Linked DNA regions of Tribolium castaneum. The protein of the gene in region 1 purifies or fractionates together with the protein of each later gene. This does not show direct contact. Links are inferred from orthologs where the notes say so. Each region holds a gene or a part of one and is shown on either strand. Other genes may lie near its edges.

Evidence for each region.
Region 2: the proteins of inhibitor of growth protein 1 (region 1) and Sin3A purify together in Homo sapiens (affinity purification with mass spectrometry; 5 studies listed by BioGRID and IntAct, counting the BioPlex papers as one, with this or other methods). This does not show direct contact. The link is inferred for Tribolium castaneum from reciprocal best matches to the Homo sapiens genes ING2 and SIN3A.

The regions. Positions count from the first base shown.
Region 1 is NC_087402.1:346,795-350,009, reverse strand, and holds inhibitor of growth protein 1, read right to left. Parts: upstream 1,927-3,215; 5' UTR 1,805-1,926; coding exon 1,669-1,804; intron 1,619-1,668; coding exon 1,409-1,618; intron 1,360-1,408; coding exon 809-1,359; 3' UTR 717-808; downstream 1-716. Other genes in the region: RASSF8 (ras association domain-containing protein 8), read left to right, coding at 1-10, 55-282. UniProt on the Homo sapiens protein: Seems to be involved in p53/TP53 activation and p53/TP53-dependent apoptotic pathways, probably by enhancing acetylation of p53/TP53. Component of a mSin3A-like corepressor complex, which is probably involved in deacetylation of nucleosomal histones.
Region 2 is NC_087396.1:24,661,508-24,665,935, reverse strand, and holds the start of Sin3A (paired amphipathic helix protein Sin3b), read left to right. Parts: upstream 1-1,483; 5' UTR 1,484-2,070; intron 2,071-2,150; 5' UTR 2,151-2,286; intron 2,287-4,428. Other genes in the region: sel (protein seele), read right to left, coding at 1-173, 231-315. UniProt on the Homo sapiens protein: Acts as a transcriptional repressor. Corepressor for REST. Interacts with MXI1 to repress MYC responsive genes and antagonize MYC oncogenic activities. Also interacts with MXD1-MAX heterodimers to repress transcription by tethering SIN3A to DNA.

The DNA.
Region 1 (3,215 bases):
CAAAAAAGAAGTGAGTGGTTTTATCCCTCTGTTTGATAATTTATTGTTTTTTAGGTTGCCGCACTTGAGACGGCAATAATCGAAAAGAAAAAACAAGTGGAATTGCTTGTGACTGAAATGAAAGAGGCGAATTTACAAAGTTTGACTATAGCGCCACCTGAGGATTTACGAGCGATTTTGGAAGGTCCTAATAAGGGAAGTACCCGAAAAATGATTGGTTCGCCTCGACAATTGGAAAATGCTGTACCAACCAATAAAAACCCGCATGGAGTTTGGGTCTAATAAAATTGTAGTCATTTTGTTTAGCTTACCTCAGTCTAGGCGTGTTTGATTTTCAAGTCTGATAGTTTGTATTGACGCCATTTTAAATTATAAAAAGTGTTATTTATTGTTAGGTGATTGGATGATTTTTTACTTACACATTTTTGTTACTTTATTTTATTTTACACTGCCATATTGTGTGTAGTTGCATCACACAGGATTATGATAAAGAAATGATGTTAGATATATTTATTATTTTAAAATATTAAAATTATATTTAATTGCTATGTCGGAAATGTAAAATACACACAAAAATATTAAATTGCGTTTTTCTTCTTCTTTTTTCCCTTTAATTTAGAAATTGCAAGTTGGCGGGTTTGGAGGATTTAGGAATTTTTGGTTTTCTTTTATCAGGATTTTTCGAGGTTCCTGGTTAGGTTAACATTACCAGACACTGAGATGTTAGACATATTTATTATTTTAAAACATTCTATGAAATTATATTTAATTGCTATGTAAGAACTGTAAAATGCACACACCAATAAACTTATGTTTTCTCCTCTTTATCCTTATTATACTTTTCGAGTTCTCTTAAAAATTGCGCCTTGGGTTTCATAACATTGGGTCTATCACCTCTACACTTTGGACAATACCATTTACCTTTCGGTTTGGTGGTTAAAGTAACGCAAGAAAAGTGGAACCACTCGATTGGACACAAATCATTGTCGCACATAATCATTTCACCGTAAGAAATTTGATCACAGAGACAATAAGTGGGCTCATCGGGATCAATAATCGGCTCTTCCTCCCTTGGCGGAGATTCCTCTCTCTGTGCTTGCACTTGCTTCGATTTGCGCTTCTTCTTCTTCCCAGTCCCACTCTTCTTCGTCGAGTTGGCCGTGGACGGCACCTGGCTCCTCAAAACGTGCTCCACTGGGGCTGAATCATTATGATTCGACTCCAAGCCTGAGAAAGTGTCATGACGGGTGCGCCGCGCCCTCTTTGGAGGCCTCTCGACCAAACCCGCACTACTGCTGTTGTTATTAGGGGGCTGTTGCTCCTTGTTTTCGAGTTGAGTCGTCTCGTCTTTACCAAAATCTAGCAATCGCGTTTGACATGGTGTAAATTAAAAAAATACGAAAAGTACCTAAATTTTTGAAGTCCTGGTCCAACAAGCGCGTCTTGATCTCAATCTTGTCCAGAATTGACTGCAAGAGGTTCATTTTCTCGTCGCCCAGTTCCTGGGCTGCGATCAGGGCTTGCTGCATGCGGGCGAAGCCCCGGGCCTTTTTGGCGGGGTTATCGTTACCGATTTTTTTCCAGTTCTCGGTCTGGTATGCGGCTTCACGCACGCGGGCTGAAAGGGCGGCTTGAGGCCGGTTTTTGGATGAAAATAGCAAAGTTTACCCAAGTAACAGACGTCGAGTTCTCGCATCCTGGAGATTAGGCGTTGGAGTTCATCGGGGAGGTTCTCAACGCAATCCAAATAGTTCTCTACGTACGTGGCGGAATAAACGGCCTCGACGGACACTTGGTTCAACATGATTTTCAACGGGGAAAGTTACAAAAAGGTTAAAGGTTTACTTCAGCTTCACATATTTCAAACATAAGCCACCATTTTTGACATCAATCGCTGTTTACCGATTTTCACGGAGAAAAAAACCCCAGGACGGATACGCGCCAAACTCAATTTTTTACACGACCATTTTGTCTAAGGCCTAACTGCACCGGTTCTGCTTAATAAATAATCAAAAAAACTAAATTCTTGCCAAATTTCGTCTTTGATCTCCTAAAAAAATCACTAAATTTGTGTAATAATAAAAAAATTATCACAAATTTAACTTTTTTTTTGCACAAAAACTACTAAATTCAGCTCACCACTGCATTATTTTCAAGGTTTCAGTGCATTTTTCAGTCTGAAACTCACTTATTTTGCAAAATTCAAAATAAAAAATTATCGAATTGGGCCGCAAAAGACAATTTTTTCCATTTTCAAAGAGTTTCAGCACTTTTTCGTTAAGGAGCAAGAAAAAATTATGTTACTCTGTTATTAATTATTACCATCAACCACTTGCGGGAATCAAATGTACCACAAAAATTAATTTATATTAACTAAAGTTTAATGTTCTCTTGCATAAAATATTGATGCACAAATGCTCATACAAAGTATGAGTTTTAATAATAGGAGTTTTATTGGAACTAAAATGATTTTTATCTCCCAAGTTTTAACATGCATGTGAATAAAAAGTTAAACATGCAAAAAAGTGAGCATTCCATGTTTTAAATTTAAAAATAATGTTCCTAAACTTTAGGTCCGTTCAGTAAATATAAATTAAAAAAATGTAATTTTGGGGCTACACTCAACACCCCAGTTGTTGGCAAATAAATAGAAGAAAATAAATTTAAAAAAACAAGCATGGTCAATGTCTGCGAGATATTAGAGCTAAACCCGGCGCCTCCGCCATAAAGACACGACGAATAATTTCCAATTTCCGTCGAAATTTTCGCAACTTGTCAGTATTCCGGACAGAAGAATGTCTCTAGTAACCTTAAAAATGTCGACACAAGGCGGACGTTTCAAATAAATCAGGCTCAAGTCATAAAGAAAAATCCTTTTGTAGGAAACGTCCGATTTAATCTTTTGTGGCTTTATTGAACTTAATGAAAAGTTGCAATTAATTTCTTAAGTTTGAAACGTGACGCTTGAGCTAATTCCAGTCGGTCAGCGAAATCTGAAGTCGTAATAGCTGGTTTGCGCTAAATAAATCAAAATATTGTAACAATATAATTATGGAGGAAACGTGGGAGCAGCCAATGGTGGTGGCCCAACCCCCTCCAACACATGTAGGCGCCTTGGAAGGATAAAGAGTTTCAGCAACATCCTGAAACGCCTGTTGATCTGCAACCAGTTGTGTTAGAGGCCCAAGGAATTTTAGCAACTTGTAAGTTTCATG
Region 2 (4,428 bases), on another chromosome or scaffold:
CGTACAAATATCTTCGATCATTTCGGATAAATGAACCTCAGACTTGGCTTGAGAAACTGATTTGTGTCGATAATTGCCATCAGAGTCCAGTCTATAACCCCCAACGTCGACGGTTTTGGTTGGATCGATTTTATTCACAGCTTTGTGTAATTCGTCTAAACTAACTTTACAAACTGGAAATCATCACTAATTACAAAACACCATTACAACAAAAATCATTCATTCTTTACCTAAACACCTCAACTCTTGAGCATCAATTTTTTGTGCTTTTGTGTTGTAAAAAAAGAGTGTTACTAGAACTAGCGTTATTTTCATCTTATTGTCAGAACAATTTTGCACTTTTTCGGAATAAACTGGCAAGAATAATATTTTCGCGGCTCGCTTTCTTCAAAATAAAACTGGTTGACGTTCATAATTTTCTAATGACACGTTTCTACCTTCTGATTGGCTAAATTGGGCTTATGCTGATAGTGATGGCTGATAGTATTTGCTCCAATGGTATTTCCCGTAATGAAAATTATTTGAACCGAAAATCTTTCACAGTTATAATCCCGTGGTTTTTATAATGTAAAATTAAATCGATAAAATACATAACCAAACGGTCCAATAATACAGTTAGTTTTTGTAAGAATTATCTAATTGGGAATAATAATTGGATTAATTTGGGTTGAATTCTAACTAATTGGATGTTTCTGTTTTTTACGGTAATTTTTTACAAGTTTATCAGAAGTGTATTGGAGCCGTTTTGACTCGGAGCACAAACGTGACCCCATTTTCTTCAATTATTTATTGTCTGTCATAGAATAGAAGCACTGATTGAAGTGGGCAACCCAAAATACAATAAACCAAGTGAATTTATTTTTTTTTCAACTCTTATCTTTCTCAAAAAGCTCAAAAGCTCTTAAATATTAGCATATGGTATTTGTTTCAAGTTTCAGATTGCTACATAATTTTTTAAATGGAATTTATGACCTGTTTTAAATTTCCAATGTTCTCCATGCATCACTGTGTGTGTGTGTGTGTGTGTTTTTTTTTGATGTTTTGAATCCAAAAATGTGATTTTCAACTATTTTTATACACTCACTTCAGTTATTATTATTTTTTTAATTTTTCATTGTGGTTCTTATTGCCGAAGAGAGTGACTAAATTAATAATTAGTAATTAAAATGTGTCTTCTTGAGGTGTGTGTTATGCAGTAATGTTCACTGGATGTATATTCAACATAAAGTGGATTTATGAATTAATTGCATAGACAAGTTTTTTACTTGTTTTCAGATTTTTATTTAATTTTATATTTTTTATTAGCCTCTGCAGCCACGTAATCATTGGCACGAATACTTTTAGAAATTGTTTAGTTGATTAATTTCTTGTAGGTATAATTATTTTTAATAGTAATAAAAATGTTTAGGTGTAGTTTATTAATAATAATTAATAGACACAAAAAGAGTTTGAATCTTGATGTCCGGCTTAATAAGATTAATAACAGTCAGAGGTCAGTTTAAAACTTTTACATCTGCTACACGCTCAACTAATCCGAAAATGGGCACTACATTGTTCTTTGGCGGGTATTTTTAAAAATCGATAACAGCGCCACTGTTCTCTTCACATTGAACTATCAGAGCAAGCATCAAACAAACCTTTTACGGATCAGACAATTGATTCGAGGGGCGGTCGCTAGTATCCGAAACTGAAAAAATCCACAATATGACTAAAGTGTAATTTTTCTGGAATTGGGAGCTCATCCTGTGGCACGTCGTAATGTTTGTGTGTAGGTTTTGTGCATTTTGGTGATCAAAAACTTGAAAAATTTGAAAGTGGGCAAAGCGACCAACCACCCGAAATTGATGGACTCGTCCAAACAAGCTCGGAGATTTGAAGCAGCCAGTCAGTCGACAATCGGTCATCGTTTCGGGTGGTTCGGAACAGAATGTGTCAGAATTTTCTTTTGATGAATTCTAGTGTTTTCCAATTATTTCCCAGTGAAATCAGCGCGGATCGGTTGCAATTGTACGGTGCATCCCCGGCACCAGTCCGCACGGAAGCGCTTTCCGCGAAAGAGGCTTTTGTAAGGTGAGTGACATATTTTTAACTTTTCACATTGACACAAGTGTTGTGTAATTGCAATTCCCAATTCGGCGCCGCTTTTCCAGCATTTCCCATGGTTTTTCCGCGATTTCGGCGTCGGCGTTCCAAAATTAGCCTCCGTCGCGGGGGCCGGCACTCTCCCTCCGTGGAAATTTCGTCGGCCTGGCAACGCTTTTCCGCCGAAAATCTGCCGACCTTTCGGTAATTACGAAATTTCGATGCAACATTTTGTATTTGTTTACTGACAAAGAGTCGCGTCCGATTTTCGGCTTTATGCACTTTCGTGTTTGGGTCGCTTCGGTCGCAGCGCCTCGCACGTCCGGTTCCCTGCCCTTCCACTCGCCTATCGATTCCTTCATTGGCCAATCGCGAGCCTAGCTTGCTAGATCGCGGGAGCGAAGTCGACACGCAACGTTGCCACTGCCACAAATTACTCATGCACAAAGGTGTGGCAACGTTGCCACAACACAAATGCCGAAAAATGGCCACCAGAAACCGACACGTGACGAGATTTTTATGCGGGCTTTCTAAAACTTTGACGCGCGCCTTTTCAAGGTCATCCGTGAAAGTTGATTTACTGTTTGCATAAATGGTTTAGGGTATGGACTATTTATTTGGTTATCTCACGAGTGCCAAAATGATAAGAATTGTTACCCTGAGTTTTGTTTTGTTTTTTTTTCCGGGGAGAAATACCGACGCCATTATTGTCCGGAATGACGCGATAAGTAACTGCGTAGCAGTTCGTATAAACGCTACCGGTTTTGTTTATGCCAGAAATAAATAAGTGGGCGTGTCGTTTTGCGGATCAGCTGAATTGAAAATGTTCAACATGGGATCGAGAAATGTTCCATGAACGTTGTTGCCGATATTGTTGCAAATTTTCCTCGAATCTTATATTAAAACTTTAAAAATATCAGTGGTTTTGACTATGATGGACGAAATGTTGTTGGATTTTGTTTACGTAACATGTTATTTTGAGGTTATGTCGAAATAAAGTCATCATTTTGCTCTCCTAGCTTGTAAAAAACAGTATGGTCAAATTACATTTTTAAAAGCTTTTTTACATGTTTATTTCCACAAATTATTTTTTTGTCAAATACTAGTTTAGATTTTTGTTTTTACGATTTTTAGTAATTCTTGAATAACATTTTCGTGCTGGAATGAACATGTTTATATAAAATTTCAGAGGTAAGACGAGGGAAATAATTTGATAATTATTCAATCTGTAGGACGTGTTTCATAAGAGTAGTCTGTGCGAATTTTATTAAAACTGTAATTATGTGTCACATTGTGCTCTACTTTAATATTATTCATTTATCTACCAAATAAATAGGTAGTAAAATTATTTAAATTAGAGTTTGTCTCTGTTTTTAATTTAGGTATTATTATGTATGTTTTAAATTATAACGTTATAATAATTACTAACGGTGTATATTTATTTATTTGTAAGAAAAAGGTCAGAGATAATTACAAAAACTGATCTGACAGTAATAACATGCAGAAATAATGTTTGTACAGCGGTGGATAGAGGATAAAAATGGCAAATTGTTAAAAATTAATTTACATAATCACAATTATAGGTATTGGAAAATGAAAATTGGTTTTACATGTAATAAAAAATGTAATTTCTATTGGAAACCAATTTATAATGGAATGTTAAATAAAATGCTTACCGGTTATTATCATGGGTTATATATTTTTTGTCTAAAAAACATTGTATTTTTTCACGGAAATACAATATTCATAATATCTTCTGAAATTATTAATTAAACAAAAGGTAGGTAATTGTTAGGAATTCGATTAATGTAATAAAATAGCAGCATATCATGACACGAACACGTTTTTCTTAATCTTATCACAAAAGTGTAATAATATCAACCAGATGTCTCTCAACTCGAAAAGTGAAAAGTTTAATTGCCGTGATTTGTAATTATAAACTAATCAAATGGAAGTCTTCACACGTGTGTTAAAAAATGAAACTTGGTTAAATCACATTTAAAAAAAAACACAAATTTCGAAGAGACGTAAACCGTCACACTTGTTCAAACGAGTTTTAACCCAGCTCTTCAGTCTTTTCATAGAACAAAAATTAACGCCCATTATCAGCGTAATTGATTACGTTATGCGCATTAGCCCCTATCGAGCAATAATAACAGACGTCCCATTATTAAATGATGGCGACGTGTAAACATCTTTCGTATTATTTCACGAAAAACTTTAACATAATATGTAATAAAGGTTTTAAGAAAATACACATGATTTGACTACAGATTTTTTCATCGTCCGTGAGTGCGGTATTTCATTATCTTTCAAAATTCGTGTTTTGGTCGGTAATTCAGACAT